3 linked regions of the Diceros bicornis minor genome follow. The protein of the gene in region 3 purifies or fractionates together with the protein of the main gene of each other region. This does not show direct contact. Links are inferred from orthologs where the notes say so. Each region holds a gene or a part of one and is shown on either strand. Other genes may lie near its edges.

What was found.
Region 1: the proteins of PRDX1 (region 3) and PRDX5 fractionate together in Homo sapiens (co-fractionation; 3 studies listed by BioGRID). This does not show direct contact. The link is inferred for Diceros bicornis minor from reciprocal best matches to the Homo sapiens genes PRDX1 and PRDX5.
Region 2: the proteins of PRDX1 (region 3) and TXN purify together in Homo sapiens (affinity purification with western blotting; 3 studies listed by BioGRID, with this or other methods). This does not show direct contact. The link is inferred for Diceros bicornis minor from reciprocal best matches to the Homo sapiens genes PRDX1 and TXN.

The regions. Positions count from the first base shown.
Region 1 is NC_080770.1:8,679,756-8,690,563, forward strand, and holds PRDX5 (peroxiredoxin-5, mitochondrial), read right to left. Parts: upstream 4,775-10,808; 5' UTR 4,750-4,774; coding exon 4,585-4,749; intron 3,255-4,584; coding exon 3,120-3,254; intron 2,621-3,119; coding exon 2,489-2,620; intron 2,416-2,488; coding exon 2,377-2,415; intron 2,233-2,376; coding exon 2,171-2,232; intron 2,070-2,170; coding exon 1,964-2,069; 3' UTR 1,829-1,963; downstream 1-1,828. Other genes in the region: TRMT112 (multifunctional methyltransferase subunit TRM112-like protein), read left to right, coding at 5,483-5,560, 5,650-5,751, 5,884-5,973, 6,066-6,173; ESRRA (steroid hormone receptor ERR1), read right to left, coding at 7,067-7,326, 7,983-8,252, 8,343-8,510, 8,931-9,059, 9,218-9,334. UniProt on the Homo sapiens protein: Thiol-specific peroxidase that catalyzes the reduction of hydrogen peroxide and organic hydroperoxides to water and alcohols, respectively.
Region 2 is NC_080767.1:19,026,927-19,037,439, reverse strand, and holds the start of TXN (thioredoxin), read left to right. Parts: upstream 1-6,595; 5' UTR 6,596-6,679; coding exon 6,680-6,703; intron 6,704-10,513. UniProt on the Homo sapiens protein: Participates in various redox reactions through the reversible oxidation of its active center dithiol to a disulfide and catalyzes dithiol-disulfide exchange reactions.
Region 3 is NC_080752.1:8,458,828-8,469,464, reverse strand, and holds the start of PRDX1 (peroxiredoxin-1), read left to right. Parts: upstream 1-6,739; 5' UTR 6,740-6,744; intron 6,745-6,911; exon of another isoform or gene 6,912-7,212; intron 7,213-10,637. Other genes in the region: AKR1A1 (aldo-keto reductase family 1 member A1), read right to left, coding at 1-97, 1,837-1,920. UniProt on the Homo sapiens protein: Thiol-specific peroxidase that catalyzes the reduction of hydrogen peroxide and organic hydroperoxides to water and alcohols, respectively.

The sequences.
Region 1 (10,808 bases), on a different chromosome or scaffold from region 3:
ATTGGCAATCGATGTTAGCTCAGGGCTAATCTTCCTCAGCAAAAAAAAAAAGATCCATCTTTAATCTTTAAGTGGTGAAGGTTGCACAACTTGGTGAACAGACTAAAAACACTCAACTGTTTGCTTTTAAAGGGTGAATTATATGTCAAAAAACTCCGTCCTTGATGAAGCTGAGGGTGCGGCCCACATGGACTAGTTCAGGGAAGGAACGAGGAACAGGGTGTTATCCACAGCCAAAGGGACTGCCCCACGGCCTCAACGGTTACAGCGACTTGGGCAGGGGTGGGAAAGGCAAGGCTGAGCACCCGGGACCCCCGCAGGGAAGCGGGCCCTCCTGCTGAGTGCCCCGGCCTCGCAGAACACCACTCCAACCAGCCAGCCTCTTAGACCTCCAGCTGAGGGGCCCCCTGGACTCAATCTCCACCACAAAACTCAACAGGTCTCCGTGTCCCAGCCTCCACCTCCTTGACATCAGTCCTTCCCTATGCTGCCCACCTGGCGCCTCTTCTACCCCCCACTCACCCAGCTCTAGCTCTCTCCCCACACAGCAGCCTGGGTATAAAGCTGACCTGTCACTGCCCTGCAGAAATCCTTCAGTGGCCCAAGGTGGCCGCAGGTGAAAGTCTTCAAAGGCCCCCTGTCCTCCCAGCATCCCCTCTCTCTCTCTCAGCTGCTCTATGTGCTGCAGCTACTGGAGGCTGTTCCACCCTCCATCCCTACGGCCATGCTGTTCCCTCCGCCAGGAGCACCATTCCCACTGCCTCAAGGGTCGTGTCCTCCAAGAGACCTCTCGCTGAGGGCAGTCTGCCCTGGCCGGCTCTGGGGGCTGAGCCCCCGCAGATGGCCAGGCGGAGCAGGAGGGCCCCTAGGAGCTGGTGGTGACGGGGCAGCAGGGCACAGTGAGTAAAGCTCACACCCACGCCAGCCCCGGGCCGGCTGCCTGGCTCAAATCCCAACTCCTCTTATGCGGCTGAATGAGCCGGGCCTGTTGACTTAACCTCTGTGATATAACAGGCTGTAACAGTTCACACCCCACGGGATCATTGAGGATTTTTACCATACCTGAAGCGTCTGTCCCCCGTAGGCTGGGAGCTCTAAACACAGCAGGGGCCTAATAATTTGCAGTCTGCTCTGCCAAGCACTTGGCTTCCCAGGGACAAAAGGCAGAAGCCCAGGGGCAGGGCCAGCACACGGCAACGGCCCCAGCCCCAAAGCCTGCCCGCCTCCCTGACCCCCGGCTCCTCACTCTACACCCACCACCGGGCAGGCCTCACAGGTGTCTTCTCCTCTCATACTCCTCTCCCAGGAAGCCCTCCTGGACTGAACCAGCACTGCTCCACATGGATCCCTTTCTGCCAGATGGTCCCAAGGTGCCAGGGGCCCTTCCTGGGATGTGGGTGCTCCCGGGAGACGTTCAGTGGAGTCTGAAAGAATGGTGGGGCTGGGGCTCGGCCCAGGTCCGGAGGCTGCCTGGAACCAAAGTTGCTACCCCGGGGTTATGGTCTAAATGAGCTCAGCCAGCACCCAGAGATCAAGCGCAAAAGGTCACAGGTGCGAGCCAAGCTCGTGTCTGCCCAGGAAATTTCTAGACATGCTTCCTCTGCACGGACTGCTCCTTCCCTTTCTTTTCAGACCACTGACCCTTTCTCAGTTTGCAGATTGGTGTGTCACAACACGTCCCCCGAAGGCCTTCCCTGACTGCCTCCTTAATTACCTCAGGGTCTCCTATTAGTCCCCGCCTCAGCCCCTGCCCACTCCTCTCCCGGCTGTGACTGTCACGAGACCTGGCCCTCAGCGAAAGAGCAATTCAAAATCAAGGAGACAGACATGAACCACAAGTGTTTACTGCAGAAATCTGGCCAAGGCTCCAACTGGGCGGCCCCAGGAGGGTGGGCTGGGCTCTGCCCAGGGCTGGACAGGCGGAATAGGAAAGCGCAGAAGGAGCACGTCTGGGCTCTGGACCTCAGAGCTGCGAGATGATGTTGGGGGCCAGGCTGCAGGTGAGGCCTGTGCCATCCGGCTCCACGTTCAGGGACTTCACCGTGCCATCCTCTATGACCATGGAGAACCTGCCAGAAAGACGGGCGACCAGTTGCAACAGCCTGGGCCTGGAGGCTGGGAATGGAGACGGGGGCGGGGGGAACCCCATGGAGGACCCTCCCACTTTTACCTCTTGAGCCGTCGATTCCCAAAGAGGGACACCAATGAATCATCTAGTAACAAATCTGTCTCCTAGGAGGGGAGGCCAAGAAAAGGATCAGGAAGCCCAGAACAGGCCAAGCCCCCCAGCTGCTCCCCACATTGGCCACGTCCCTCCAAGTCCCTGCTTCCAAGGCCGGGCACAGGGACTGCCCTGGGGGCGGGGGGGGCACTCACCTTCCCAAAGGCCCCAGTGGGGTCAGCCAGAAGCCGAACCTAAGGAGAAAGTAAAGGTCAAGAGAAAAATCTCCCGCCTGGCCCCTGATCCCCTGCAGGACCCGCACCTCACCTTGCCTTTCGCATTGTGAGCTCGTCCCCACTCTTCAGTCACAAAGACATCATTAACACACAGACATGCCACAACCTGGACCCCTTTGGCCTTCAGAGCCCCAGCCTGCTCCACAAACCCTGGCAGGTGGGTCTGGGGAGAGGAAACAAAGGGTCAGCAAAGGGATAACTGCCTCTGCTCCTTGGGCTACCCTTTATCTCCAGGCCTTCCCTATCTCCCTGCTTCAACACCTTTGATCAGACTATGAGAACTGTGTAAGCCACAGTTCCTTTTTGCCTTGGCCACTAGGAAGCTCGGATCCAAATTTAAGTGGTCAAGACCATGAACTTCCCGTGGCCATAACTATGTCTTATTTACCCGAGTTCCAAGTACCCTCCATAGTGCCTGTCAGCCAGCAAAGTCAATAAGAAGTGTTGAATTTCATTGCAATACCCTTTTCCCCTATATTTCTGGTACTGCTACCTTTTCGCAACCTCCACTTATTTTCTAAATGCTCTGACCAGCTTTTTAGCTGTCATATCATCTACATACTCTCGTTGCCAACTGCCTCAGGACTCCGTGGAAGACTTATGAACAATACGAACATGTACACAAGGTCCCAGTTGCTAAGCCCAGAAGGGCGGGGCCTCACCTTGGAACAGCCAGGGGTAAAGGCCCCGGGGACTCCAAACAGCACCCCCTTCTTGCCCTTGAACAGCTCTGCCAGGTTCACCTTGTTCCCAGGCTCCCCTTCAAACACCACCACCGACGGGATGGCGTCTCCCACCTAGAGGGAATGGCTCCGAGGTCAGGGGTCGAGGTGTGGGCTGGGCAGGGAGGCCAAGGGAAGGGCAGCACCAGAGCCAGGGGACCAGAGGGGCTGGCAGCTGTGCCTGGTGGAGCACAGTTGACAGCCAGCAGGAAAGTTCAACCCTGTCAGAGTTTCCAGAGGTCCCTCCCTGTCGCCCTCCCTTCTCCCGCCACCGCCTGGTTACCCCACATCCCCCAGGTTTCAAGGCGGCCCTATTCTTCTTAAAGGGCCCACTGATGACAAGAGAAAAAGGGAGAGAAGGCCTCCCTGGGTGTCGCAAGGGGTTGAGTAAACAAGCTGAGTTACAGGAAAAGAGTAGGATAAAGGAACAAGGGGCGGAGGGGCAGGGGGGCTATATTTGATGGTGAGGACAAGGCCCTGACAAGGAGGGAGCGGACCCTGGCCAGGTCTGAGTGTCTCACCCTCAAGACAAAAAAAAGGGAGGGCAGCACAAAGCGGGAAAGTCGGGGGGTGGGGGCGCCGGTCCCTACATCCAGGGGGTATGGAATAAAAGAAGGAATCTCTTGAAGGGTGAGGGGTCGGTCTACCTGGGAGTGTGTGAGGGCTTCCTGGGCCCGGAGGAGGTAGACAAAAGGGACAAAAGTCAGGGGTAGGGGGGAGCGTCTCTGAGAAACTCTGTGGTAGGAGTAGGATGAAGCAGGAGGAGGCGGGGGTCTCAGAAGACTGTGGGAGGGGAAGGGGTTTGTTCCAAGGAGCTGGGGATGGTTCCAGAAGATAAGAAGGGGTGAAAGACTCAGCAAAAGGGTGGGAATTAGCTATGGGTGGAGTGGACTGGGGGAGATACAAGGGGACTCTAAGAGACAACACCTGTTCCAGAAGATAGGGGAGAGTGATGCCCAATAACTTGACAAAAGCGTAGGACAGGGTCGGGGGAGATGTATGGGGGTTGAAAAGGGACCCGGGGGCAGAGGACATGGTTCCAGAAGGTGGGGGAGGCCACGATACTCAATTGTCTGAAAATGGTGCAGACCCATCACAGGGGTCGCAGAGCCGATGTGGAAGGGAGATGAGAGGAAGGCTCGAGAGCCTCGGGTACTGGCCCAGCAAATGGGACACGAGACTCCCAAAACTGGCATGAACGGGGTGGGGGTGGGGCCGCCCGGGCCGCCACGGGGTCTTGCTGAGGGGATGAGGGGGACAGACAGCGTGAAGGGCCACTAGGGAGGAGGGAAGGATTCCGGAGGGCAGGAAAGAGGGTGACTCTCCCCCAGACAAGCGGGACGGAGGGTGGCCTTGGGTGGATGGCGAGGGGCTGGGGGTCAGGCCTGGCCGGGCCAGCGGTCACCTTGATCGGGGCCATGGCTGCAGAGGCGCTTCTGAAACCGCGGGTCCCACCAAGCGTCCACTCTCGGCCTCCTTCCAGGCACCGGCCTGTTCGCACCGCTGCCGCAGCCTGGGCGAATACTGAGTCCGCTCGGCGTCCCAGGATGCATAGACCCACCTGCAGCATGCCTGCCACCGACGCCACAACCGCCCCGCCCCGTCTCGCTGCGCCAAGCCCCGCCCCCGTCGGGGCCGCGGCCGGAGGCGGGGCCCGGCGTCACCAGCGACTCTCCAAAGGCGGGGCCTCGGCCGCCCCGCCCCCGGCGAGGCCCCTCCACTGCGCAGGCGTGCGTGCAGGGGCGGAGCTTCCGGGGCGCTTGGCTTATTTGCATTAGGGGCTGGACCACTGATGCACGGACAAAGGGGCGGGGCTTCCGGCAGCCGAGCAGATTATTTGCATACAAGGTTCGGGTGCCTGTTGGACCGGCCCGATTTACGGATTGGGGCGGTGTTTCCGTTTTTTAACCGACAGCGAGGGGCGGGAGATGACGGCGTCAGGCGCTGGTGTAGGAGTAAATAAAACATGTTTATTTTGCATTCGACGGAGGCCCCATTGCAGTTGTTTCACATATAATTTGCACTGTACATGATTTGTAACCACTGGAGGTTTTTGGCTCAGTCACAACCACTGGGCCTGCGCCATAGACACCTGCCGCCGAGACGGTTCCGGCAGCAGCGCGTGATCCGACCAGGCCTTTCAAATACCTCGGCTCCGGCGAGCCCCAGAAGTTCCAGCAAGTTCCCGCTTCCGCTTCTCTCAGCTATCCAATAGGATACAGAGGGGAGCGGCTCCGGAAGTGACGCAGGCGGACTCCTGGCCTCCTTCCGCTTCCGGCCTGGCCAGAGCGCTCGGTGGCGACATGAAGCTGCTCACCCACAACCTGCTGAGCTCGCACGTGCGGGGGGTGGGGCCCCGCGGCTTCCCTCTGCGCCTCCAGGTACGGGCCGGGCGGTCTCTCGCCCCCGTCCCGGGCGGGATAAGAGAGCCAGGGTCCGGCCCGCCTCACTAAGCCCCTCCGCCCCGCAGGCCACCGAGGTCCGCATCAACCCCGTGGAGTTCAACCCCGACTTCGTGGCGCGGATGATCCCCAAGGTGGAGTGGGCGGCGCTCCTGGAGGCGGCGGACACCGTGAGGACCCTCCCCCGCCCGTGCACGCCCTGGGGGGTGGTCTTGCCGCAGCCCCTTGCACCAGGCAGGGAAGCCTGGTCTTGGGGCGAGGGTCGGCGATGCCCAGGGACGAGTTAGGTGTCTTGCCCACAGTTGCATCTGGTCGAGGTGCCCAAAGGGCCGATTGAGGGGTATGAACGTGATGAGGATTTTCTGAGGAAGATGCACCACGTGCTGCTGGAGGTGAGAACCGGCCCATCGCTTGCTTGCCTCCCTGGCCACACCCCCACGCACGGAGCCTGCCAGTGCTCAGCCCTGTCCCCCCTTCCCCGCAGGTGGATGTGTTGGAGGGCACCCTGCAATGCCCGGAGTCTGGACGTCTGTTCCCCATCAGCCGCGGTATCCCCAACATGCTGTTGAGTGATGAAGAAACCGAGACTTAATCGTGCTGGGCACCAGTTTTTCACTGTGTCCATGTGTACATTGGTTTATGTATATCCTGTTTGCTAGTTCTGTTTTGTGTATCCCCAACCCTTGACCCAGTGACACGCCAGACACGCAGTGTTCTTGAGCTCGATATATTTTTTTTCTCATTAAAGGTTCAAAACCAAAAGCGGTTTCTCTTTGCAGCAAATATACATTAAAATAGAGTCTCTGTACAGCCGAGGGCTCTGGGCCCTGGCTTGCCCCATGTCCCTGCACCTCCCTGGCCAAACCCAAAAATAAATATAGTGTTATTGCTCTGCAGGGCGTAGAGGCAGTGCTCTCCCTGCCCCCTGAGGAGGCTGGGTGGGAGCTGATGGGGGGCCCTGGCCAGCCCAGGGGTCCAGGGGCTGGAGCCTGCTTGGAGTTATTGCTTCAAGGGGGGGCAGTAATGCCCAATGCAAATGATGAGGAGAGGAGCGAAGGGGGCAGGGGCTTTTGCTTTCCAAATCCCCCTCTGCTCTGGAGAGGGGGTCGGGTTAAGCAGCAGCAAAAGCATCACCCACTGGGAGACTGTGGCCTCCACTCCCTTCCCTCCCAGATCAGGCTTCTGCCTCCCACTCATCCCCTGCAGCCCCCTATGGCTTCCGCAAGGCCCCCTACAGTCTGGGGGCACGTTATGGCTTGCAAGGGGCAGCACTGTGCCCAGAGCCTGGGCACACACGTTCCCAGCTTCTAACACCCCCTAGGAGGGGGGAGGGGAGGGCGTAGGGCCCACTCCCAGGGGCTGATGGTATTGCCCTGGCCCTGCCAGCAGGCTGTGGCACTGCCCAGACTCCAGCTCTGCCCCCTTGGGGCTGACCCTCTGCTGGGCGGGTCCTGCCAGCACCCCCACCCGTGCCCACCCCGTGCCTCAGTCCATCATGGCCTCAAGCATCTCCAAGAACAGCTTGTGCATGGGCACCTTGCCCTCCAGCTTCACCCCATAGAAATGGGCCAGCACTTTGCCCGCTGTCTGGCGAAGGAGCGGCAGTGTAAGCAGCAGCCTGCCTGCCCGCCGCCGCTCAGCGCCCCCTCCGGGGCCCGCCCGGCCGGCTTCATACTCTAGCAGGGCCTCGTGCAGAGCTTCTCGCAGCTGCTCCACAGCCTCGGCATCTTCAATGTGCACAGAGTCTGCGAAGAGAGAGGAGAGAGAGCTGTTGACCCGGGCCACCTCCAGAAAGGGCAGAGCCCCCATCTGCTTAGACAACACTGCATGGGGCCTAAGGAAGAACCAGACACAGGGCTGGCCCCCATAGTGTAGTGGTTAAGTTCACACACTCTGCTTCAGTGGCCTGGGGTTCGTAGGTTCAGATCCCAGGCACAGACCTACACGCCGCTCATAGAGCCATGCTGTGGTGGTATCCCACATATAAACTGAAGGAAGGTGGGCACAGATGTTAGCTCAAGGCCAATCTTCCTCGGCAAAAAAAAAAAAAAAAAAAAACAAGAAGAAGAACCAGACACCGATTTGTTCACTGGGTGACTGAAGCACCACTCACTGCTCCTGCTCATGAGCCAGGGTCCACCTTTTCTCTCTCAACTACAGCCACCTCTTGTCTTGCCCACCTTCCCTCCCATTAAATTGTTCACCTTTCCACTAAGTATGGCACTAGGGCTCAAAATCCCAGGTGCAGTTCCTGGGCCTGCCCTTGGCTTGCTTTGTGACTTTCAGCAAGTCACTATTCCTCCCTAAGCCTCAGTTTTTCTTGCCTGCAAAATGGGACTGTGCCACCATCACAGAGTTAAAAACCAGAGGGCCCTGTGGAGGGAGCTCACTGCAGACTCACCTGAATTGGCAAGGGCCAGGGCCTTCAGCAGGACGTACTCCTCACGCTCCAGCCGCAGGGCCTGCAGTCGCCGCACCAGTTGCAGCAGGGCGGCCCCCAGCTCCCCCAGGCCAGCTGCTCGCGCCCCCTCTTCATCCAGGACCAGGTCCTCAGCAAAGGCCAGCTCGTCCTGCAGTGGCAGTGAGCGCTGGGCCACGCCCAGCACCAGGACCTCCATCCATACACTCTGCAGGACTGACATCTGGTCGGAGAGCGACAGTGACGAGAAGCCTGGAGGGCAGTGGGGAGGAGACCCGGCTGAGCAAGGGCGCCAGAGCCAGGCACCCAGGGAAGCCCCACATCACCTGGGCCAGCCCTTACCTGGGATGCTCTTGGCCCAGCTGATGGTGACCACGATCTCTCGGTCAAAGAGGTCACAGAGGGTAGCCACAGCCGGGAGCTGTCCGTCGGGGCCCGCCGGGTCGGGCATGGCATACAGCTTCTCGGGCTCAACCACCAGCAGGTGGGACACCAGTGCGTTCACCGGGGCTACAGGCACAGTTGGAAGAAGCACTCGAACTCATCACCTTGCAGGCCCTTCGGAGTCAAGCATCTTCCCAGAGCCGGGCCCCCTGTGGCCTTCCTCAGTGGCCACTGGCCAGCCAACTCAGACCCCTCTCTCCGGGAAGGGTTCGCACTGTCTCCCGGGGAGAGCCGGTCTGTGTGTGCACGGGTTCTGAGCGTTAGAAAACCCTGCCCTGTTCCCAGTTGTACGACTTGGGGGCCTGACACAGAAAAAGGTATTTTCATAAATACTTCTTGGGATAAGTGACTACGTGAATAGATGCAGGGAAAATTTAGGTCCCAGTGCCCAAGATAATTATTCTCCTGGGTGAATGATGCCAGATAGGCCTCTGGGTCCTAGCCCCCCGACAACCCTGGAGCTCCAGGGACCCACGACGCTCTCACCTGTCTTCCGAGGGCCTCCAGCTACCGCCAGGGGTCCAGCAGGGAAGGGGCCTGGGAAGGGCAGTGGGTCCACCTCCGGCCGCCGCTTGTACTTCTGTCGCCCACCCCGGACACGGTCCAGACGTACCCCTTGAATTGTAAGAGAGGACTGTGTCCATGGGGCTGGGGGTGGCCTGCTCTGCAGAGACCCCCGCCCAGTCCATTCCACCAGGACTTCCCAGGCCTTGCCCCCCGGCCCCATGCATCCAGCTCCCCCAGCCCTCGCCCAGGCCCTGCCCAGTGCTCACCCTCCTTGAGCATGCCCACCCGCAGGCACTTGGTGAAGCGACAGGCCTGGCAGGCCTTGCGTCTCCGCTTGGTGATCTCGCACTCGTTGGAGGCCGGACAGCTGTACTCGATGCTCCCTGCCAGGAAGAGGCAGGGCTCCAGTGGCGGCCTCCCAGGGCCCGGAGGGGGCCCAGCGGACAGGAGAGCCCTGACTCGCCCCGGGCAAGCACGGGTCTGGGGAGAGCAGGAGTGCTGTGAGTGGCACAGGGAAGCCCGGTGCAGTGAGGGGCATGGCCGCTGGGCTGGGGGCCTCTACCCGGGCAAGGGAGGCACTGGGACCGGGGGAGTGAGGCTGCGTCGCTGCCCCAAGCCTCTTGTCAAGCCGTGTCTCTGGGCTCTACTGCCCTCATCTGCTCTCAGCAAGGGCCACAGTGGCCTCTACATCCAATAGCCAATTCTCGTCCTCATCTGACTTGGCCTAAAGGAGCATCTAATGCCATTGATCACGTCCGACTCCTAGAAACACTTAAAACACTTTTCTTCCTAACGTCTAGGACCCACTCCTGATTTTCCTCCCCGCTCATTGGCCACTTTGTGGTTCTGCGCACCTCCCCACGCTCTTTCCACTGAAGAATCCTGCGCTGCCCTCGGACCTTGTCTCCACTGACTCACTCTCGGGTGAGTTACCACTCACAGCCCGGGTGATGTGACCCAGCCGCAGGCTTTCAAATTTGTATCTCGAGCCTAGACCTGCCTGAGCTCTAGACTCATCCCACTGTCTGCTCGACATCTTGCAGCTCTAGAAGGCGTCGCAAACTTAACATGTCCTGATAGAGCCCTTGATCTGCCCCTCCAGACCTGCAACTCCATTTATCCAGGTGCTCAAGCAGAAATCTAGGAGACATCTTGGATTCCTCTCACACCCAAAATCCAACCCATCAAAAAGTCCTAGAGAGTCCAGAAGCCAACCCCTTCAGCCCCTGGCAACTGCTTCCACCCGTGACCCAAGTCACTGTCACCTCACCCCCGGCTCTGTCCTTGCCTCCTTCAGTTACTCTCAACACAGCAGCCAGAGGCATCCTATTAAACCTAAGTCAGACCCTGTCCCTCCTCTGCTCAAAACCCTCCAATGATTTCCCCTCTCAGAGGAAAAGCCCAGGGGAACTCCGTGGCCGCTGAGGCCTACACCCCTGCTCTCACCCCCTCTCCGATCTCATCCCCTGTTGCACTCTGCTCCGGCTCCCCACTGGCCTCCTCGCTGTGTCCCAAAACAGGGGACACTGCTCCCTTACCTCCTTCAAATCTCTGGCCCTTGTCACCGTCCCTGGCCACCCGCTGAGAACGCCAGATGCCCCTCCGCGGACACCTCCGGGCCGCTTGCCCCTGCTTCATAGTTTCTCATCAGCTCTTAGCACCATCTAATGTGCTACTTATGTACTTATTTATCTTCTGTATTATCCGTCTCCCCACTTTAGTGTCAGCTCCACGAGGGCCAGCACTGTCCCCAGCACCACACAGGGCCTGGCACATAGTGGGCGCTCATAAAACTGGTTGAAGGAGCGCATGGCGGCCCTCCCAGCCTCACAGGGCTACACAAGGACTGAAGGACAC
Region 2 (10,513 bases), on a different chromosome or scaffold from region 3:
GGAATATCTACTTTTTGTATGCACTGTCTCTTTCAGTTAGCCACTCTTACAAACTATGTGGCCTGAATTAAAGCACTGCCTAAATGTTCCTATTTATCCCATCTTTGTTGCCTTGTAAATGTATTTTAATGTCTTGAGGATGGCTTTTGTGTCTAGAAAGGATTATTCAGAGACGACATCTTTATTGCTTAAATCAACTTTATTGGGGGTATAGTTTACACCCATAATAAATAAAATGTACCCATTTTTAGTGCATCATTCCAAGAATTGTGAAAAATGTATAGATCTATGTAACCACCAAAAACTTTCCCTATGCTTCTCTGCCATCCCCCCACCCCAGCATCAGGAAACCACTGATTTGCTTTCTGTCCCTATATATTAGTTTTACCTGTTCTAGAACTTCATATGAATGGATTCATACAGTATGTAGTGTTTTGTTCTGGTTTCTTCTACTCAGCATAGTGTTTTTGATATTCACCCATGTTACCGTGTATATAAGCAGTTTGTTCTTTTTGTTGCTGAGAAGTATCCTGTTGTTCAGAAATATCACTTTTATCAGCAGTGGTAGTAAAAAGTTCATGCACCAAATGACGTTTCGGTCAACAGACCTCATATATGATGATGATCCCATAAGATTAATATCAAATAGCCTAGGTGTGTAGTAGGCTATACCATCTAGGTTTGTGCACGTACACTCTTATGATGTTCGCACAGCAAAGAAATTGCCTAACGATGCATTTCCCAGAACATAACCCCATTGTTAGACAACACATGACTATAGTAATATTTCACCCGTTGATGAACATTTGGGTTTAGTTTGGGGCTATTATGAATACAGCTGCTATGAACACTCTTACGCAAGTCTTTGTGTGGATACATGTTTTAATTTCTTTTGTCTAAACACCTAGAAGTGGAATTACTGAGTCATACGGTAAATGTATGTTTAACTTCCTTAAAAAAAAAAAATAGTTAAAAAAAACCCACCAAACTGTTTTCCAAAGCGGTTGTACAATTTTACACTCTTAGGGGCAGGGTATGGAAGTTCTTTTCAGCTAATTCACAATCTCACCAACATTTGGTATTATCAGGCTTTTACATTTTACCAGTATAGTGGGTGCAAAGTGGTATCTCATTGTGGTCTTAATTTCAATTTCCCTGATGACAAATGATGCTGAGAATCTGTCTGTTCACGTGCTTATAAGTCACTCATGTATCTTCTTTTGGGAAGTGTGTGTTCAAATCTATTGCGTTTTTACCAGTTGTTTGTGTTATTTTTACCAGTTGTTTGTCTTATTATTGAGTTGTGAGAGTTCTTTATATATTCTGGATATAAGTCCTTTGTTATGTATATGTATTGAACATATTTTCTCCCAGTCTGTGACTTGCCCTTTCATTTTTTTTAAACAATGTTTTTCAAAGAGCAGAGATTTTTAATTTTAATGAAGTCAAACTTACTAGCTTTTTCTTTTATGTTAGTGATTTCCGTGTCCTGCCTAAGAAATGTTTGCCCACCCCAAGGTTGCAAAGATTATCTCTAACATCTTCTTTTAGAAGTTGTATAGTAAATTTTGAGTAATTTTCTTGTATGGTGTGAAGTAAGGATCAAGTTTCTTTCTTTTTTTTTTTTTTTTTTTTACAGAGATACCCATGGGATTTTTGAAGGAGGAGAAAGAGTCTGGAAGCAGCAATGGGGAGCATTTGCCTGACCTCCTGGCCCTGACATATATGGGGCCTCTACTTGAGAAGAGCAGAAATTTCAGTTAATGCAAAAGAAACATCTGAGAAGAGGTTAAGAATATAGTGGTACTTGCTGAATGCAGCTGGTTCCTGGAGGGTGCACAGGGAGAGTTTGAGAGGGCAGGGACAAGGATGATTGCACCAGACCAGGGGATGTAAAGAGCAGCAGTATGCAGGGTAGGTTATTCACAGGGATGGTTATACTGTTTGAAATTTACATTAAAATACTGAGCATTGAAAGTGTGACATATATTTATATGTATATTCATTTTTAAAATCTAAATAGTTAACATTTGAAGTACCCTAATCAGGAGTCCACTCTTGGGGTGTTTAAATTAGTATTTGATGCAAATCAAAACTACAATGAGATATCACCTGACGCCCGTCAGAATGGCTATAATAAACAAGACAGGAAACAACATGCGTTGGAGAGGATGTGGAGAGAAGGGAACTCTCATACACTGCTGGTGGGAGTGCAAACTGGTGCAGCCACTATGGAAAACAGTATGGAGATTCCTCAAAAAATCAAGGATAGAACTACCATATGATCCAGCTATTCCACTCTTGGGTATTTATCCAAAGAACTTGAAAACACCAATTTGCAAAGGTACATGCACCTCTGTGTTCATTGCAGCGTTATTCACAATAGCCAAGACTTGGAAGCAACCTAAGTGCCCATCAAGGGACGAATGGATAAAGAAGCTGTGGTATATATACACAATGGAATACTACTCAGCCATAAGAAACGATGAAATCCAGCCATTTGTGACAACATGGATGGACATTGAGGGTATAATGCAAAGTGAAATAAGTCAGAGGGAGAAGGTCAAATACCGTATGATTTCCTTCATTAAGTAGTAGATAATAACAACAATAAACAAACACATAGGGACAGAGATTGGATTGGTGGTTACCAGAGGGGAAGGGGGGAGGGAGGAGGGTGAAAGGGATAATTCGGTACATGTGTGTGGTGGTGGGTTGTAATTAGTATTTTGGTGGTGAACATGATGTAATCTATGCAGAAATAGAAGTACAATGATGTACACCTGAAATTTTTACAATGTTATAAACCAATGTTACTGCAATAAACAAAAAATTAAAAAAAAAAATTAGTATTTGAAAAATCTCCAAATAGGAATTGATGTACCAGAGGATGTTTCTGCCAACTATTCGAATATCCTTATAGTTACAGTTTGTAAATTAGTGTAAGGAATGTTAGATATTTTTCACTGGTTAAAAGAGGGGTATTCAAGATACATGTTGGGCTGGCTTAAAACAGTGCTGGCAAGTCCTCTCCTTCTTGAACAGAGTATAAGAATTGGTGTGCATTTGGTGTGACCAGGTGACCTCTTTGAACCTTGATTTTCTTCTCTGTAAAATGGGAAGAATAATATCTGTCTCCGAGGGGATGCTGAGAAAAATGAAGCTACACCTACCTCCAGGCCTGGCACTTAATGATTGTTCTATGCATGTGTATTTGTTCCTTTTCCTTCGACCACCTTCTTTACTATATTATTTTGAACTCCCCATTTTATATCCGTTACCATTTTCTCTTTTGTGTCCTCATCTCAACTCTCTTGCTAGACACAGCCTTCAAGCTGGCCTCCCTCTGAAGATCCCAGGGCAGTCTATCAAATCTTCTACACCAAATCACCTGGGATGCTTCTTTAAAATGCAGATTCCAGGGATCTACCTCCAAAGGCTGTGCTTCCATGTGCCTGTCTGTGTGTGGTCCAGGAGTCTGCAGTATCATCAGCACCCCTAGCTGTGCTGAATGAGGTGATCAAGGGCCACACTTAGAGGAATCTGTGATCTGAGCAAACTTTGCCTCAGAAGCCCTAGAGCTGCATTTTCTTCAAATTCAGATGTGAACAAAGACAGCAAACCTAGTTTTCCAGTCCCCCATGGGGCCTCAGACTGAGCTGACCCAGAAATCTGAAGTGAGTTCCTCACCCACACTACTCATTTCTGTTCTTCTTGACAACATGGAAACATCACTTTTGCCTATCCAGCATCCATGTCCCCTTTCTCTGGTGACCCTCTGGATTTTCCTCACTCCTGGTCAAAATGGTTCAAGCAAGGCTGACGCCTCCCCCCAACTCAAGTCAATGAAGGTCAGCCTATGGGACATTTACTAGGACCGGGGAGAAGATTGGCCTTCCTTCAGGGATACTGAACTGGTAGGAACAGAAGCCTGGCGCTGCCTGGGCTAGTCTTACATAAGGTGGAGAACCTCCTGAGAATGAAACCATAGAGATCTGTGACATCTGTAGGCCCCTGGGGTTCCTGATAATATGAGTTACTAATTCTCTTTTTGGTTTAAGTCAGTTTGAGCTGGAATCTTCCTTACAACTGCGAGTTCTGACTAATACACAGAACTGACCCCCAAATGAAGGCCTTTACATCACCCTTTCTCTCCTCCTCTCACCCCTAGCTCTCTGCACCAATGGATCCCCCCTGACTGGGCTGTCCCAAACAATTCCCCTCCACCTCACTTTCCTCACAGAACATCACCTCCTTGCCACAACTGAAATCCTAAGGACGCAAGTTTATATCCCTGTAGGCAGGGGATGTTCCTCTTTAGGTAGGGCCAGGTCTAGCCCACTTTTCTTTCACACTTAGATAGGGAAAAAATCCTTTTCCTTTGAGACTCGTGTTATTGAGCTCACTAATCTTTACTAATTTCCTGGTTACTTAATTCACTTAGGACTTGCACATCTGTTTTACAGCCTCTTCTACCTCTGCCCTCATTCCAGAGGGATCTCACCATTCCATTTAATAGCCTGTAACCATACTTTATACAGCACTTACTGCATATCAGGCAAGATTCTTAGCACTTTACACATATCTTAGCTCACTCAACCCTTATAATAGCATATTATCCCCATTTCATAGATGAGGAAACTGAGGCACAGAAAGGCTATTTAGACTTGTCTAGAGTTACCCAGCCACAGAGTGGTAGAATGGGGATGAGGACAGGGAATCTAATCACAGGGTCTGGGATCTTAACACACACGCCAGCCTCCCAGTGCCCTCTAATTGTAGCATCCCCCATATCTACTTTATATTGGTCCTCTGAAGGTGGGAGTCAGGACCTCCTCCAACCGAGTCACTGGACATTTGTAAGGTCCTTGGAGAGATGTCAGCTGAGGGTGGTTTGGATGGGCATTGGAGATCTATACCTCCTCTTCCTACAGCTGAATCATTTAAGGTCATGTCCCATATAAATGTACCAACTGATAGATAGGCCTAGAAGCTGGGATGTAAGTTGGGCTGAAGACACAGCAGCAGCAAAGCAAGTTATACATTCTGCTCCTGGGACTCCAGGAGCACAGGCCTCTCCTCTGCCCCAATAGTCTTTATTGTCTATGGGAAGCTTGCTGCATTCAGGCCAGTCCACCCTCCTCTGTCTAGGATTGTCCTTAGCATGTGTCCCTTGTCCATATCCTTACCCATGGCCCTGTGCTCCTCATCCCTCCAGAAACTTTGCACAATAGGTTCAACACCTCTGGTTTTCTTCCTTCCTCTGTTTGAGAGAGCACGGAGAAGCTAGGGGCCCTGAGAGGAAGCCAGGGAGCAATTTCAACATCCCAGCCAATCACACATGGATGTAGCTTCGTCCAGAGCTGCTCCACTCTGAAAATTCACACTCAGACCCCCCACCCCAACATTCCGGCTCTCATTCCTCTCTCCAGCCCAAAAGCTTCTCCACCTCCCCTTCCAGCTGCTGAAAGGCCCTCCTGGCTTCACAATGCCCGCTAACATAACTTCCACGAGCCCCAGTCCTGCCGGACGCAACCTGCCACACGCATCCCTATAAGAACACAAACGGCCCACTTCTCTGCTCCAGGTCTACTACTGGTAGAAAAAATTCAACAAATGTGTGTACCGGTGCCATCAGAAAGATAAGGTCGCCAAGCTCAGCACGGCCCCCCATGACACCAAGCAAGCCTTATCAGTGCTCACAATAGCTACCGTTATAACTATTTACTGAGCGCTCACCATGTGCCAAGCAGTATCCTAGTCACTTTACAAGCACTTGATTTAATCCTCAAAACACCACCATGAGTTAGAGACCATCATGGGTCCCATTTTACAGAAACGAAAACTGAGGCACCGGGCAGTCAGGACCCGCTCGGGGTCACAACTGCACCACTCTGGCCGTACTCACATCCCGCACGCAGCTGTGTGCTCGCCAGGAGCCCAGCCAGGTGCCCGGCCGTCCCTATGGCACTAAACTGCGGTGTCACGCTGAAGCAGCGGCTTCACCGGCGAAAGTGAAAGAACGTGAACGAGGCAAGAGCAGCAGAGAATCCCCGCCGGGAGTTCCGAGAAGGAGGCAGGCTGCACACGCAGAGACAATTCCCGGTCTTCTTTACTCAGCACCTTGGGGGGTGCGCGCGGCTGGGGGGCGGGGGCGTGGCGGGCCTCTTCCAGGAAAGCGCCGGCTTTGGCGGCACCTTCTCGATCCTGGGCGCGTTCTATGAAGGCCTGGCTGACCCCTTCCCACGTGACCCTGTGGCTCTGGGTATGGCCGTCGCCTCCCCGCCTCCCCGCGCCGTGCACTCTGCACGCGCCCTTTTGGTCGCTCGATGGCCCCCACAGGTCCCCAATCCCAGTCCGGGTACGGGACAGCCTTGCCGGCGGTTTCGGGCGGAGGGTGCTTCCCGGAGCTCCGCCCCGCGCCGGCGACGGCCCCGCCCCCCGACATTGATCCCGCTCCCACCCGGCGGCTCCGGGAGGCGGGGCCTGGCCGGGCGACTTGGCGGGCTCGGGAGGCCCGAGCGGGCGCGCCCCCGCCACACGCACGCCGCGCGCGCCCGCCCGTCCCGCCCCTACTGCATAAAGGGAAGGAGGGCTGCGCTCGCTCCAAGCTGCGTCCGACGCTTTGGATCCGCTTCCATCGCTTGTTGCGGTCGCTCGTCAGACTCCAGCTGCCAAAATGGTGAAGCAGATCGAGAGCAAGGTACGCGCTCCCGGGGAAGGCCGGGCGCGACGCGCAGCCTCCGTAGCTGGGGAAGGCGAGGGGCCGGAGCTGGGCAGGCCGCCGCTCCGCATCCCTGGGCGAAGGGGACGCGGCGGCTCGGCCTGGGACTGCGAGAAGCCCGGGCCTGGGTGCGCCGGAGGTGTCGAGCATGCCCTGGAGGAAGGGCGGAGGGGGACGAAGGCGCCCTGGAGGGCGAGGTCGGGGTGCCCAGCGCTGCCCGCGCCCACTGCGCCCGGGGGATGCACGCGCACTGGGAGCGCCCAGGTGTCCCCCTCTGCGCCTCCTGCACCTCCCGGTCCGGGAAGCCGTAATTGAGGGAGGGGATGGAGGGAGTCCGCCCTTGGCCCCATAAATATCCGGATACGGGCCCGGGCCAGCAGGTGGAGGGACCCTTGGAGAAAGCACGGGGTTGCTGGCCGCCACTCTCTCGCCGGTGAGCGGCGTGATCCACCCGCGCTGGGTGGGTGAGCTCCCTTGGGAGCGGATCTAGGCCGGAGACCTCCGGCTGCCGGTCCCCAGAGATGACGCGTGCTGTATCCGCGCAAAGGGGGCGGTTCCAGGCTGGAGACCCTCCTCGCGTGTGGGAGTCCGGCCCGGAGGCCCAGGTGGCCGCAAGGAAGTGAGGTCCGAGCGGCGCCCTTGGGACTCCTCCTCTTGCGGCGCAGGGCGTGTTTCCGGCGGCGCTGGCTTTGGAATGACTCAGTCCCCAAGGCTAGGCCCAGGGGACTGCGCTGCCCTACCCATTTGTGATTCACCCACAGTGGGTGGATTTCTCTGAAGCCTTAAGTTCCCCTGGGAGCAGCCGTGCCCGCCTGCGTGCTCGTCGCCCCTGGGTACCCTGTTGGTGGTTCTGTCCTTTTAGGGATGCCCAAGGCAAAAAGTGTTCTCCTACTGGAGAGTCATTGCAAGCCTAATACCCTCCTGCCCGGAAAACTCAGAGCCTAACATAGTGTCTGGTATATTGTAGCTATTCAAGAAATGTTTGTTAAATGCAGAGTCTTGAAAGTGAGTGAGAGAGCATTGATGTTGCTGGAACAGTGGAAGACCTCTCCAAAGCATTACCCCTGCGGTACCCCCGACCCTAGGATAAAGCAGGGGGAAGGCGAGACCTCCCCCGCCATGAGTGCCCCCACCTGTTAGCTGCTGGGATGGGCTTTGGGAAACAAGTTTCTCTGTGATGATCCCTTATCTTTTTGTTACTTTTATAATCAGAAAACATGTATGATCATGGTAGAAAATTTGGGAAGAGGGAGATTGTCTATTTCCTAGAAGCAACCACAAAGTAATTGAGATTATTTTACGTATACTGTTTTGTTTCTGAGCTTTTTATCCCTGTCTAATTTAGCCTGAACACTTTCCATGTAACGAGAAGCTTTTGTAATGATTTCAATATCTGAACGCATTACTGCACGTTTCGGCGGTTTTCGATGCTTCAGTGAATATTTTTGTTCATAACGCTTTGTACAGACAGAGTTCAGACTGTTTCCTCAGGTTGGGGTCTCGAGTGCAGTGATGGTGAACCTTTTAAAGCTTGTCAGTGCCCCAAGAAACATAGGAGAGTTCTCCTTGCCCTCCACCCCATGAACGCTGACTTTTCCCCCGTAACTTCGGCCAAATCATTAGTAAGAAAAATAGTCCCAATCTAATCTGAATATCTTTGATTATTAGTGACTCTGAACCCCTCCCCCCGCATATGTTGATTGGCTAATGGTAGTCTGTTGTCTGCTTTTCCTTGATCAATTTTTTCCTATTGGGATCCTCCTTTTTTAAATTGTGTGAGCTTTTATATTAAAATTAGCACCCTCTCATTTGTTGAAAAGAGAGATCCTTGATAGTGAGTTTTGTTCCACATAATTTTATTCAGTACCTCCTAAGTGACAATCTGCGGTGGGGGTGTTCTCCAGCCTCTGGCGACCTCATCAGTATAACCCAGCAGGTGAGAACCCATTGAAGGAGTGAGGCAGCCTTTGAGTGGCTTCTATTAGTTGTTTCACATTCCATACACTACAAACAAAAAATTGATTCCTGGAGTACGCCTTTCAGTCCTTCCCTATTTTAGTTGTTGGAAAGATGGCACTCTCCTCCTCTCATCAGCGGGAAGATGTGCAAGGGTGACAGGAAATTCATTACTCAAAAAAGCACTAGCCTGGGGCCTAAGGACCCTGATAATCAGTTGATCTTCAAAATTGTGATCCAGAGTCATCAAAATTAAATTAATTTGACCATTACTTGTGAATATTGAATGCACCTTAGATTTTCATCCTAGTGGACTACGTTGGTGCCCTGGGCCATCCAGGATAACTCTGAGGCACTGTGTTGGTTTAGAGCCACTAGGCTCTATTTCAGACATGAGTGGGATAATGGATTATAAATGTGATGAGAAAGAAATCAACAGTTTGTTTTCTTTTCTTTAAAGAATGGTAGCTGCCATTTATTGAACTATCTTCTACACACAGGCATTTTGCTAAATGCTTCACATCCACTCTTAAGCTTATTATCTCTGGAATGGGTATGTTTAGGAAAAGAGATGCTAGACTCTGCTCTTATCTACCTCAGCTCAGCTCCATTGTTTTGTTTTCAGAACATTTGTGTCAGTAATGGGTACCTTGATTAATCCTCATTGTTAGTTTCCAGGAGCTAGAAATGGTGCTTTGCATCTTCGATAGTCTTGAATCATTTTTAAACTGATGTCTGTTTTAGGCAAACTTTTAAGTATCAGGAGATGAGAATTTGTTATGAAGTCTGCACATACCTGGCTCTGTAACTCCTGATCAGTTAAGCCAAAAGTTATCGTTGCATGCCTCTTTTCAGAGTTTTAGGTAGTTTTGCTTGAATTTGATTCAGAATCATTTTTGGGAAACCCTTGAGAGTGTTTGAAATACATTGTATGTTGAAAGTAATCCCACCAAGAATTTACTGAGGGCCAGCCATGTTCACAAACAAATGTGTTCATCTGACCAGACGTTGGCATTCCCTGACTTGTTTCCTGCCTTATGTGGATCTTGCAGTGAAGAATGGCTGGTTTGACCTTCTACAAAATCATGTTAGGGCAGGCTTTGAATGAAATTCAGCTGGAAAAATTGGTGATGGTTTGTAAAAAAATAAGTTCTGGGGGCCGGCCCGGTGGCGCAAGCGGTTAAGTGCGCGCGCTCCGCTGCGGCGGCCCGGGGTTCGCTGGTTCGGATCCCGGGCGCGCACCGACGCACTGCTTGGTAAGCCATGCTGTGGCGGCGTCCCATATAAAGTGGAGGAAGATAGGCACCGATGTTAGCCCAGGGCCGTCTTCCTCAGCGAAAAAAGAGGAGGATTGGCGGATGTTAGCTCAGGGCTGATCTCCTCACAAAAAAAAAAAAAAAAAAAAAAAATAAGTTCTGTACTTCTAACTTCCTCTCTGTGGCTTCCCACCCCCAAGCCCACCCATACACATCTCCCCACACCCAAAGGTGGGGTGGAAGTTTGTACCTGCATAACTGAAAAGCCTACAGAAGTCATGACTTGGCATTCTCAGGAACATTATTTGTGAATTGTTTCCCAAAAAAACATGAGGTAGAAACTAGAAATCTAGGGAAGTAACTGTACTTCAGAGGGATTCACTTTGGATTCACTTTTTTTTATGGTGTTTTATTTGTTTACTTTCTTTCTTTACTGCACCAGATCTGATATGATTCTTAGCTTTCAAGGGAGGGGAATGTTAGTTTTTAATTAAGCCAAGGTGACTAGTATTTTTCCCTTGAAGAAACCTAGACTTCAGATACAGATGTTTCTGTTTTGACTTCTCTTCGTTGCTCC
Region 3 (10,637 bases):
TCAGGGCCTCCCCGATCTCGGTCTCATTGCCGTAGATAGCAGCACAGTCAATGTGGCGGTAGCCTACACTCAGGGCATACTTAATAGCTGCTTTTACCTGTCAGTTGAGAGAAGCAGAGGTTTCAGTTCTGTTGCTCTGGGCCAGAAACTGCCCTCCTGAGGGTCACTGATGGGGGGAGGTGGTAGGAATATACCACTGCAGTCATCCATGCAGTGGGGTGAGAAGACGGAAGACAGTTCTAGTCTAGGGGACCAGAAGCCTCTTCAGAGACCCCAAATCCTTAGTTCTCACCCTACTAACCTCCAGGGTTCCTTGCTACCCAAGCAATGTCAGCAGGGCCCAGCAAAACACTAACACTGTGTTCTCAGCTAGATACTCAGAAGACGGATGGATACATTGACAGAGGACAGAAGTATAGGTCATGGAGACAGGTCCCCAGCCCTGAGAAGCTGGTAAACATGATACACAGGTAAGTAATTCCTAGGCCAAGCCACACAGAGGGACTCTCAGGGAGCCAAGTAGACCAAGGGAGCTCGGGGAGCTCAAGGGAGCAGAAGAGATGAGAGGGGGAGAAAACTAAGGAAGGCAGAGAAGTGAGATGGAAGCTGGGCCCAGAGCCCTCTGTCACGAGAGAAGAAAGCAGGCACCAAGTACGACACGTCAGTCAATTTGCTAAAATCCAGACTAGAAACATGGCGTCAGAAGCAGAACCAAGGGTATTAGGCCCTTGCCATTCTAGAGCCCCATCTAGGTGAGGCTCTTACCATCCAGACATACTCTCCTCACCCCTGCCCCTACCTCTGCTGCTCCATGCCCCCCGTCTTGGCCCTGGCTCTGGCCTCCATCCACTGCCTTCATCTAGCTCCTGGACTTGTCCTGGGTCATGTCAGTGCCTGCCTGGAGCACAAAGACCCTGCCTCCAGGGTCCTAGGCAGCTGTAGGGAGGAAAGCAAAGGGAAAAAAGGCAGAGGCCATCCAACCACACCACAAAGACCAATCTAAATCCCAGACAGAAGAGGCTCTTCTCCCTGCCGGAGTCCCTCCCAAACTTAATCCCCAAACTTCTCTAAACTTAGACTCAGATTTCCAAGGAACAAGGAAGAAGCCCTGAGGAGATGTCCCACTCCAGGTGGGAGCTGAACCTCCAGCAGTGTCAACCCTAGGAAAACAGTATCCATTCCCAGGCTCCCCTAAGCTGCAAGGGTCTATACCAGGGGTCATTAAACTCCAGCTAGCAGCTGCCTTTTGTTTTTTCAGCCCTTGAGCTAAGAACAATTTTTACATTTTTAAGTGGTTACATAAGTACATAATCCTCTTCATTTTGCAACTTGTCCAGCAAAATCTAAACTATTAACCATCAGGTTCTTTAAGGAAAAGTTTGCTAACAGTTGACCTAGTTATTCTTCAAACCCTGACACCTGCTGCGTGCCTACTCTGGACTGAGCGCTAGGGAAAGGCCCAGCCCTCCAAGGCACCCAGTGTGGGAGACATGATCACAGCACAGGGTGGTAAGTGCCATATGAGGGGTCGGCACAGGGCCAGGCACAGAGGGGTCCCATGTCTGCCACAGCACTCAGTGCAGATCCAGTCAGGGAAAGGGTTCCTTTGTATGCCCTTGGCCCTGCTGGGCCCCTCAGGCACTCCTCTGAGTCAGCTGGGGAAGCCAAGGGCTCACTGCTGGTCCCTTCTTGTTTCTTCCAACTGACCTCCAGGCTCATTGCTACCTGGAGTATGGGGGTGGGGCTGCTAGGAAAAATGTAGGGACCCTCTCCCAAATACTGCCTTTTCCCTGGCAGAGGTGCAAGAAGCCCTCCTCCTCTTCCCTCATCCCTCACCTGCCCAGGCTCACTCTTCCAGGTGCCCAGTCCAATCAGGGGCATCTTCTGCCCAGTGTGCAGGAGAACACAGGAAGCTGCCATTGCCCCCTGAAACACAGACAGGGAGAGAATGGTGCGGAGGTCAGTGCTGCTGGCTGGGCCTCAGCTACCCACCGGTCAAGACTCCTGTAAAACATGGGCGGGAAAGGGACACAGAGGTGACAGGAGAACAAACATGCTGTTGTGTGCATGTGCCTATGAGCAGAGGCAACTGAGACACGGTGCCCAGAACGTACCAAAGCCAGTAGCTCCTGGACAAACCCTAACTGGACCACCAGCCTGGCTGCCCTTCCTTCTACCAGGCTAAAGGTCTGTATTAAAGAGCTCCAACACCTAAAAACAAAGGCAGAGTGTCTCTCCAGAAGGACCCAGCCTTGATTACATAATGTCTCAAGCCAGTGTAAGACAGGCAAAGGTCATTATGAGACAAAGCGAGACCAGATGACAGAAGAGGCTCAGGAAAAGGTCACTCCTCTGAGGATGAAATGAACATTCCCAGGAGGTTGTCAGAACTACAAAGATTCTGTGAGTCCCTCTCACAGAGATCGGCCATGCTGACAGGCCCGAGTGGGCTCTTATAAGGAAAGTACAGCATTTTTTAGATAAAAAACAGGCTCAGACAGGTGAAGTTACTCACCCCAATCAACATCTAAGAAGTGGCAGAGCTTGGGGCCAGCCTGGTGGCGTGGCAGTTAAGTGCGTGCAGTCCGCTTTGGCGGCCCGGGGTTCGCGGGTTCAGATCCCGGGCCCGCACCGAGGCACCACTTGTCAAGCCATGCTGTGGCGGCATCCCACATAAAGTAGAAGAAAATGGGCAGGGATGTTAGCCCAGGGCGAGTCTTCCTCAGCAAAAAGAGGAGGATTGGCATCGGATGTTAGCTCAGGGCTAATCTTCCTCACACACAAAAAAATGGGGCCGGCCCGGTGGCGCAGCAGTTAAGTGTGTGCACTCCATTTCGGCAGCCCGGGGTTCGCAGGTTAGGATCCCAGGTGTGCACACGCACGGCTTGTCATGCAGCATTCCATATAAAATAGAGGCAGATGGGCACGGATGCTAGTCCAGGGCCAATATTCCTCAGCAAAAAAAGAGGAGGACTGGCATCAGATGTTAGCTCAGGGCTGATTTCCTCATCAAAAAAGAAAAACAAATAAGAAGTAGCAGAGCCAAGGACCCAAGGAGGAGCTAATGGAAAAAGGCAAGAAAAAGGCAGGTAAACACAGACCTATAAAATACATGTGCAATGCCTCACAGTAAACACATGTAAAATGTGCTACAGAAAACCAAGTGATTTCTGTAGCGCAAGGACCATGGAATATTGACATTGGCTTTTAACAACTGGACTCTCCCAAGAGTCAAGGGGAAGGGGAACTAGACACAGGACATCAGTGCAGCAGAAAGCAGTAAATTACAGATAGAAGAAAATTTCCAACTGAGCAAAGCATGTGAGTGATTGGAACAACCACCTTTGGAGAGCTAGGAAAATCAGAAGTCTCCAAATGGCGCAAGAATACTCATTCAGTCAGCAAATGATGAATGTTCCAGGCCTTGTGCCTGACCCAAGAGACACACATATTCAAGTAGAGTCTCGGCTCCCCTGGAGTTCATGTTCTGGTGGGCGGAGGACAGAGGATGTCCAGCACAATGTATGAGAGAGATGACCAAAATCTGCACAAGTGCTGCAAGAAAAGGGGAATCTGGCTAGGATGGCTTCTTGGAGGTGATATCTGAGTCAAGTCAAGTCTGAGTTAAGTCAAGTCTTAAGAAACAGGAGTCATCCAACCAAAAAGCAGAAAGAACACTCACCACACCAAGAGCCAATAATGTAGAAACAACCTTTTCCCGTGAACTCATCAGTACTATAAATATCACTCTCCCTGGATTAACTTCATTGTCAACAGTGCCTTTATAAATATAACCTTTGTTTCCAAGTTCTGAAAGGACATCAAGATTATTACGGTAGAGCAGGTGATAAGACAAGTGATGAATACAACCAATACACTAAAATTGTCTTTCCTCATACTTTTGACTCAGGAAGAATTTTAGAGTCTAGTATAACCTGGTTATGGTAAACATGCTCTTTTCTGTTAAAACAGAAACAAAAATGTTCAATCTGGGCAGCAAACCACAGATGGCTGAGGGCAATACTCTTTGTTATCAAACTTCTTAGGGGTCAGGCAAGCATGTCTGGACTTCACAGGAGGAACTAGCCTGCCAGCTGCCACCAGGGTCTGTGACTAGTTTCCTGGACTTGATCCCCAAACAAGTGACCTATTGGTCTCTCCCCGATTTCCCAGCACACATGGGAGGGCTCTGAAATTACACCTGGGCTGAGAGCTTGAACAAACACCAGCCTGAGGGGAAAAGGAAGAAGAAACCTGATGTCTGCTTCTCCTTTTCTTTTGCTGGTGAAACTGAAAACCAAAATGAGGCTTGGAGGGCAGGGCAGGGATCAAGAGGTAGGAACACCTAAGAAAGATCTGCAAAGAACAAGAGTTCCAAAGGAGGGAACGGAGAGGGTGCAGCACAAGACAGATGTTTGTCTTGAGGACAGGAAGTCATCCTATGACAGCTCTTGACTTCCTCATCTTCTGCCTGACTCAACGGCTTTCCAGCCTAGCCCTGCATTAACAGGCTCTGAGTCTGTCAGGAGCTGCAGAGCTGGACCTCTGGCAGCACTCAGAAACCCGCATGTTATCTTGGGAGAGATTCTAGATATAAAACAGAGAAACTGAGTGTATGTGGTGGGGTAGGGGGTAGTATCAGGACTCAGGTTTTATGATTCCAACTCAGTGCCTGCCTTCCTTCTCGCTGGGGCTCAGTCTTCTCTTCTCAGAGGAGGGCTCTATAGTTCCTGCCTGGACACAGGGAACTCGAAAACACAGGAAAAAGTGGAAGCAGTATTTACATGAGTGTCCCCTGGCTGCATGGGCCTTTCCTCTGCCTCCCATCAATGTCGGTGTCCCTCAGGGTTCTGTCCCCAATCCTCTTCTCACTCCCTAGTTGAGCTCATGTCTTCAGTTACCACCTTAGGCACTGATTCTTCCCACCAGTTCGGTCTATTCGGCTCCCTTTGGACATCTCCAGTGTATGTCCTATAGGCATCTGAGACTCAATGTGTCCAAAACTGTACTTGTCAAATCCAGCAGCAGAGTGCAGAGGAAACAGTTCAAACTACAGGGTTGCATAGACCTGGGTTTGAATCTCAGCCCCTGCATTCTTAAGAGATACTATATCTAAAGCACTTTACACAGTGCCTGATCCCCGCTTTCTTTCTGTATACTCTGTCTCACCACAGACTCAAGACCCTGGACAATGTGTTAAAGCAAACCAGACAACATGTTCACAGCATAATCCATGGGGTCTTAAAAAAAGCCATCTAAATAAAGTATTTCAGTTCATTTCTGGCCTTTCTGAGTATTATCAGATTCTAGTCTTGACAGGTGATGGGGAGGGGAGTACATCTTCTCCTGTAATTCTAAGAAACCAACATGGGCAATGGTGGCTCAGATTTGGTCTGTTTGGGTGAGTTAAAAATCCTGTTAATACTTGTAAATATAAAAAAAGACAGTGTTTGCTCTAAACTGTAATGTAAAACCTAAGACTGAAATAACACTTTGTGTACTTCTTAATGTATGTGAAAATAATTTAAAAATATATACTTCCTAAATCTTTCTCCAGTCCATCCATACTTCCCTCCACTGGCACTATGTTAGCTCTGACCACCCTGACCTGAACCAGGGATCGCTCTGCTTCCAGTGTCTCCCCTCTTCCCACAATCCATTCACCAAATGCAACCATGTGACTCTCAGGCTCAAACTCTTCCAGCAGTTCTCTCCTACCTTGAGGATAAAGTCCAGACTCTTTAGTAATACTCTTCATAATCTGGCTCCCCACCTTCCTCATTTCTCCACCTCCTCATTTCCAGACTCCAGACTCCATGTTCCAGACTTTGCAGAACAAGCCACCACTCATTTGACTCCAGGCCTCTGCACACTTTCCTTCCCCAAGTCTCACCTTTTGCTCGGCTGACTGCTGCTAATCCTTCAGCTGGCACTTTAAATTTCTGACTCCTCCCATATACATCACTGTATTTGTGTGTTATGTTTCTCCCACAAACCTAGGTACTCCTTGAGGTCAGGGCCCATCATCTGTCTGAACTCCTCACTCCCAGAGTGCATGCTCCATACATACATACACATACACTAAACACCCACAAAGAGAGGCAAATGGGGGTGATCTTGACAGTTGGACTTTGGCCAGCTGGAGGGGTATTTGAGGAAGTCACTGCCTCCATCGCCAGCCTCCTTTACTTCTTGGGTAACCTGGAAAGAATCATCTCTGCAAAATATCAAAGCACTTTAGCCACAAAAAATACCAGTGGCTCCAGACAGGATTATGCTAGGATTGCTCCTGTATTTCAGATGACAAAACTTAGACCTTGGGAAAAGTAACATGCCGGAGCAGAGCCACCAACCTTCTTCTAAGGGAGGTCCTACAGCCCTGAGTGTGGACAAGCTGAAGGGAGAAGTTAATTAATAGCAGCCCCAACCGGTGAAGGTTCAGAGTCGATGAAGGTTCAAATTCGTCTCACTTAAAAAAGTGGCAACAGAAAAACATTCTCTGGGGCAACAGATAAACATGCCAAACCCAAGGCAACTGCCTAAGTAAGAGAATTCTACCCGCTCCCGCCACTTCTGAGAAGCCACCTCTCCAATTCCATAGGAAGGACAGAGCTCCTGGAAAAACTATGCCGTTGAGCAAACAAAAAAGATGGGAACTAAAACTTACTGAGCACCTTAAATGTGTCGGGAGCTTTAAAAACTTTATCTCACTTAATTCTCGCTACAGTTCTGATGTAGGAACTCGTTTCACTGCTGAGGAAACTGAAGTCCAGAGAAACTGGGAACTCATCCAAGATCACACAGCGAAGAAGAAAAGTTCAAACCCGAAACCAAGTCTGGCCGCCTCCAGAGGCTACGCTCTCCGCTCTATCTAGGGAGAGAAAGATGGGGCAGCAGCAGGAGGAACTCACCTCGGCACGAGCCCAGAGCGTGAACAGGAGAGTGTGAACTCGGCTCAGCTCGGCGCCCTGCTAAGGATCCAATGGGCCTCAGCTTCCGGGAATGGTGGGCTGCAACGAAAGTCACCGGAAAGTGGAGGCAGGGATCAGGCTTAAGTCTGGCGGTGAAGAGGCTGCTCCTCCCAGAGGAGGGACGGAGGCCGGGCGTTCAGCCGAACTGGCCGTGGTGGACCCCGCCTCTTACCCCCGGAAAAGAGCTCGGGGGTTGGGGTGGAAGTGGTGAGCACGCCAGACTCGCGAGGCTGTACCATCCCCGCCCCTGGGTGCTGGTGGTCCCACTGGGACCAGCACGGACAAACGAAACCCCCAAGTTTGGAGAATGCGCCTGCACAGGAAGCATGCGCCTCTGACCACGGAGGGGGCCCTGGGGGCGGGGCCAGGCTGAGCCTCTGCTGGCCCACAGTGCACCGCGCGTGGTGGCCACGCCGCTCTAGGCCGTTGGAGCTCATTCCCCTGCCGCAGGGAGGAGGCTTCCTGAGTGCCACGTTTGGCGTTCTTCTGGTGTCTTGTCCTGCAGCGCTGACTGCCCGGGGTTTCCCTCTGTGGGGGAAGAGAGAGAATCCCCCTCTGCCCTTTCCCTTTAGGTTCTTATGGCTGGCCAAATAATTAATAAGATAGGTTAGTAGGAGAAAATAATACCAAGTTTAATAACATGTATACATGGGAGAAACCGGGGACACTGAGTTTCTCAACACAATAGCAGAAATTCTCTTGTTAAATACCATCTTTAGCTAAGAACAAAGGAGGATGTTGAGGGTAGGGGGAGTCAGTTCCTAGGAGATTACCACTGAAGCAAGTAAATAAGAGTAAGGTTATTATGCAGTTTTAAGGCCTCACGTTCCACATTGATAAGTTTCTAGAAATGAGGCCATCCCCCCCCTTCCCAATACAGAGAGAGAGATACCTTTACAAATGGAGATTTCCCTTATAAATGTAAATGTTTGTCTGGCAACTCCTTGCAGGGCCATCTAGAGAATGTGGCCAGAGAGACAGAATTTTTGATAAGATGGGCTTGTTGGTGACTTTCCTATTGTAACATCTATTTTACATTATATTACAGCCATCAGATAGAAGATCTGTTCCAGGAAGGAGTTACTATGTCAAATTCTTTAGGCAGTTAGTGGGGGAGGTCAAATGTCCCTCAGAGAAAACAATCAAGGTAAAGAGATATATTTCAGGGTGACCAAATCTTGATCTCCCACATCCCCATTCTCTCCATTAGAGTCGGGTTGGCCAGCTGCCCAGATTTTATCTAATCTTATTTGGTCTGGCAAACTGAGGCCTAGAGAGCAGCCACAACACAAAGGCTGACCATAACAAGGAAGACCTGGGGTCTCCGGACTCCAGGACATAGAAAGTTCCTCGTCTCTCTATCTGGTCGGTGGACCCTGGCCACGGCTTTATGTGCCAAGCACTGTACCAGGCTATAAACATGATTTTATTGAATCTTCACAGCAACCCTGGAAGGAGGATGTTCTTTTCAATTTTATTTCTTGTAAGCCTTTATATGGAAGTATAGCATACATACAAAAAAATGCACAAATCTTAAACGTAACGCTCTGTGAGGTTTTTTTTTGCAATGTAGCTACCATCTAAACAAAGATAGACGTTACCAGTACACTGGAAGCCTCCTGTGAGGAAGTTAGGAATGGTATTCACATTCCATTTTACAGATTGGGCAGACTCAGCAGGTAAATTAGCTTGTCCAAAGTCAGACAGGTATTAAGTTAGAGATTTGAGATTTGAAATAGCCCTTGCCGTTTCGGCTGAGAGATGTCTTGAATTTGTGTTTTCCTTGGCAGGAGTTGGAAAGAAGCAGGTTTGTCCCGGTGTAGCCCTGCCTTTCTCTCCCCACACCTTGGTCTTCCCCCGTCGCCCCAGGCGCTGCTCTTCTCTTTTTTTACCCTCCCCCCCCCAATTCCTCACCACTGTCTCCCCAATACAAATGGTGTCCTGAGGGACCAAGTGCCCAACGTTTCACACCAGATATCCTCATAATGACATTCAAATTTGGCTTATGTGATCAGAATTTAGGATCCTTCAAACTCAGCCCAGCAAAGGTTAACCATCAATAGACACATCCTATGTATCCCATCCCTCCCACTATCTTCTGCAGGATCTGATGGACTGCCTCAATTTTTTTTTCTTTCTTTCTTTTTTTTTTTGTGAGGAAGATCAACCCTGAGCTAACATCCATGCTAATCCTCCTCTTTTTCCTGAGGAACACCGGCTCTGAGCTAACATCTATTGCCAATCCTCCTCCTTTTTTTTTTCCCCCCAAAGCCCCAGTAGATAGTTGTATGTCATAGTTGCACATCCTTCTAGTTGCTGTATGTGGGACGCGGCCTCAGCATGGCCGGAGAAGCAGTGCGTCAGTGCACGCCCGGGATCCGAACCCGGGCCACCAGTAGCGGAGCACGCGCACTTAACCACTAAGCCATGGGCCAGCCCTCAATTTTTTTTTTCTAGTGAGTCTGACTTCTTAAAAGTCTGAAGGGCAATAATCAAGTGGTGACCTTGCCATCTGACGAACTGCTGAGTCATTATAACCAGCTCCCTCCTTCCCCAGCCCTGGGGATTTTGCTCTTAATTGTGGCCACAAGGATCGTTACAAGCAAGGCACAACGCTGGCCCTCCAAGAGTGTTGCCCTCCGAGAGTTTTCAGAGCAATAGTCATCAGATTGATGGTGTATTGTTTTCGAAAACAGATCGGCTTGAGAACACACCACTCCTTGGGGCCGGCCTGGTGGGTAGCGGTTAAGTGCACGCTCTGCTGCTGTGGCCCGGGAGTTCCCAGGTTCCTGGCACGCACCGCGCACCGCTTGTCAAGCCATGCTGTGACGACATCCCATATAAAGTAGAGGAAGATGGGCACAGATGTTAGTCCAGGGCCAATCTTCCTCAGCAAAAAGAGGAGGATTGGCAACAGATGTTGGCTCAGAGCTGATCTTCCTCACACCCACACACCCCCCCACACACAAAGGACTCTTGGAAATACTGATGACTCTAATTGTTGGGTCATAAATGCTTATGCAAGTCGTTTCCAATTCTTTGTTTTGAAAGCTATTGGTGAAGGCTGGTAGACCATTAAAAATAATTTTGGATGATAGATTTTGTGATTTTTGTCATATAACTTGAAAAGAGTTAAAACAATTAAGTGACATTGCTTTAATAAGACTTCTATTTTCATCCACTTATTTATGTGAGCAAGTTATCTTAGTGCTTGTAACTGAAGGGGAAGAAGACTATCCTCTATCCACTCTGGGTCCTTTCTGGCTGGGCTACAAATTAAATTGACATGAGACCAAATAGCAGGAGAAAATCAGACAAAGCTTTATAACATGTATACATGGGAGAAACTCAGAAAATACAAACTGAGCAATTCATCATTCTGACTAAGTTGCTCTCTTAAGTATTTTTCAGCTCAAGATAAGGAGGGTGTGGGGGTAGTGGTTTGGGATTTCAGAGGGGAAGAAGAAAACTCACGTGGAGATGGAAATGCAAATGTTTGTCAGACAACTCTTTACAGGGCCAATTATAGAGAATGTGGCTGGAGAGACAGAATTTTTGATAAGATGGGCTTTTTGGTGCCTTTCTTATCACATCTATTTTACATTATACTTCAGCTATCATATGGTAGTGGTTTCTTCCTGGAAAAGCCCTTCTATGTTAAATTTG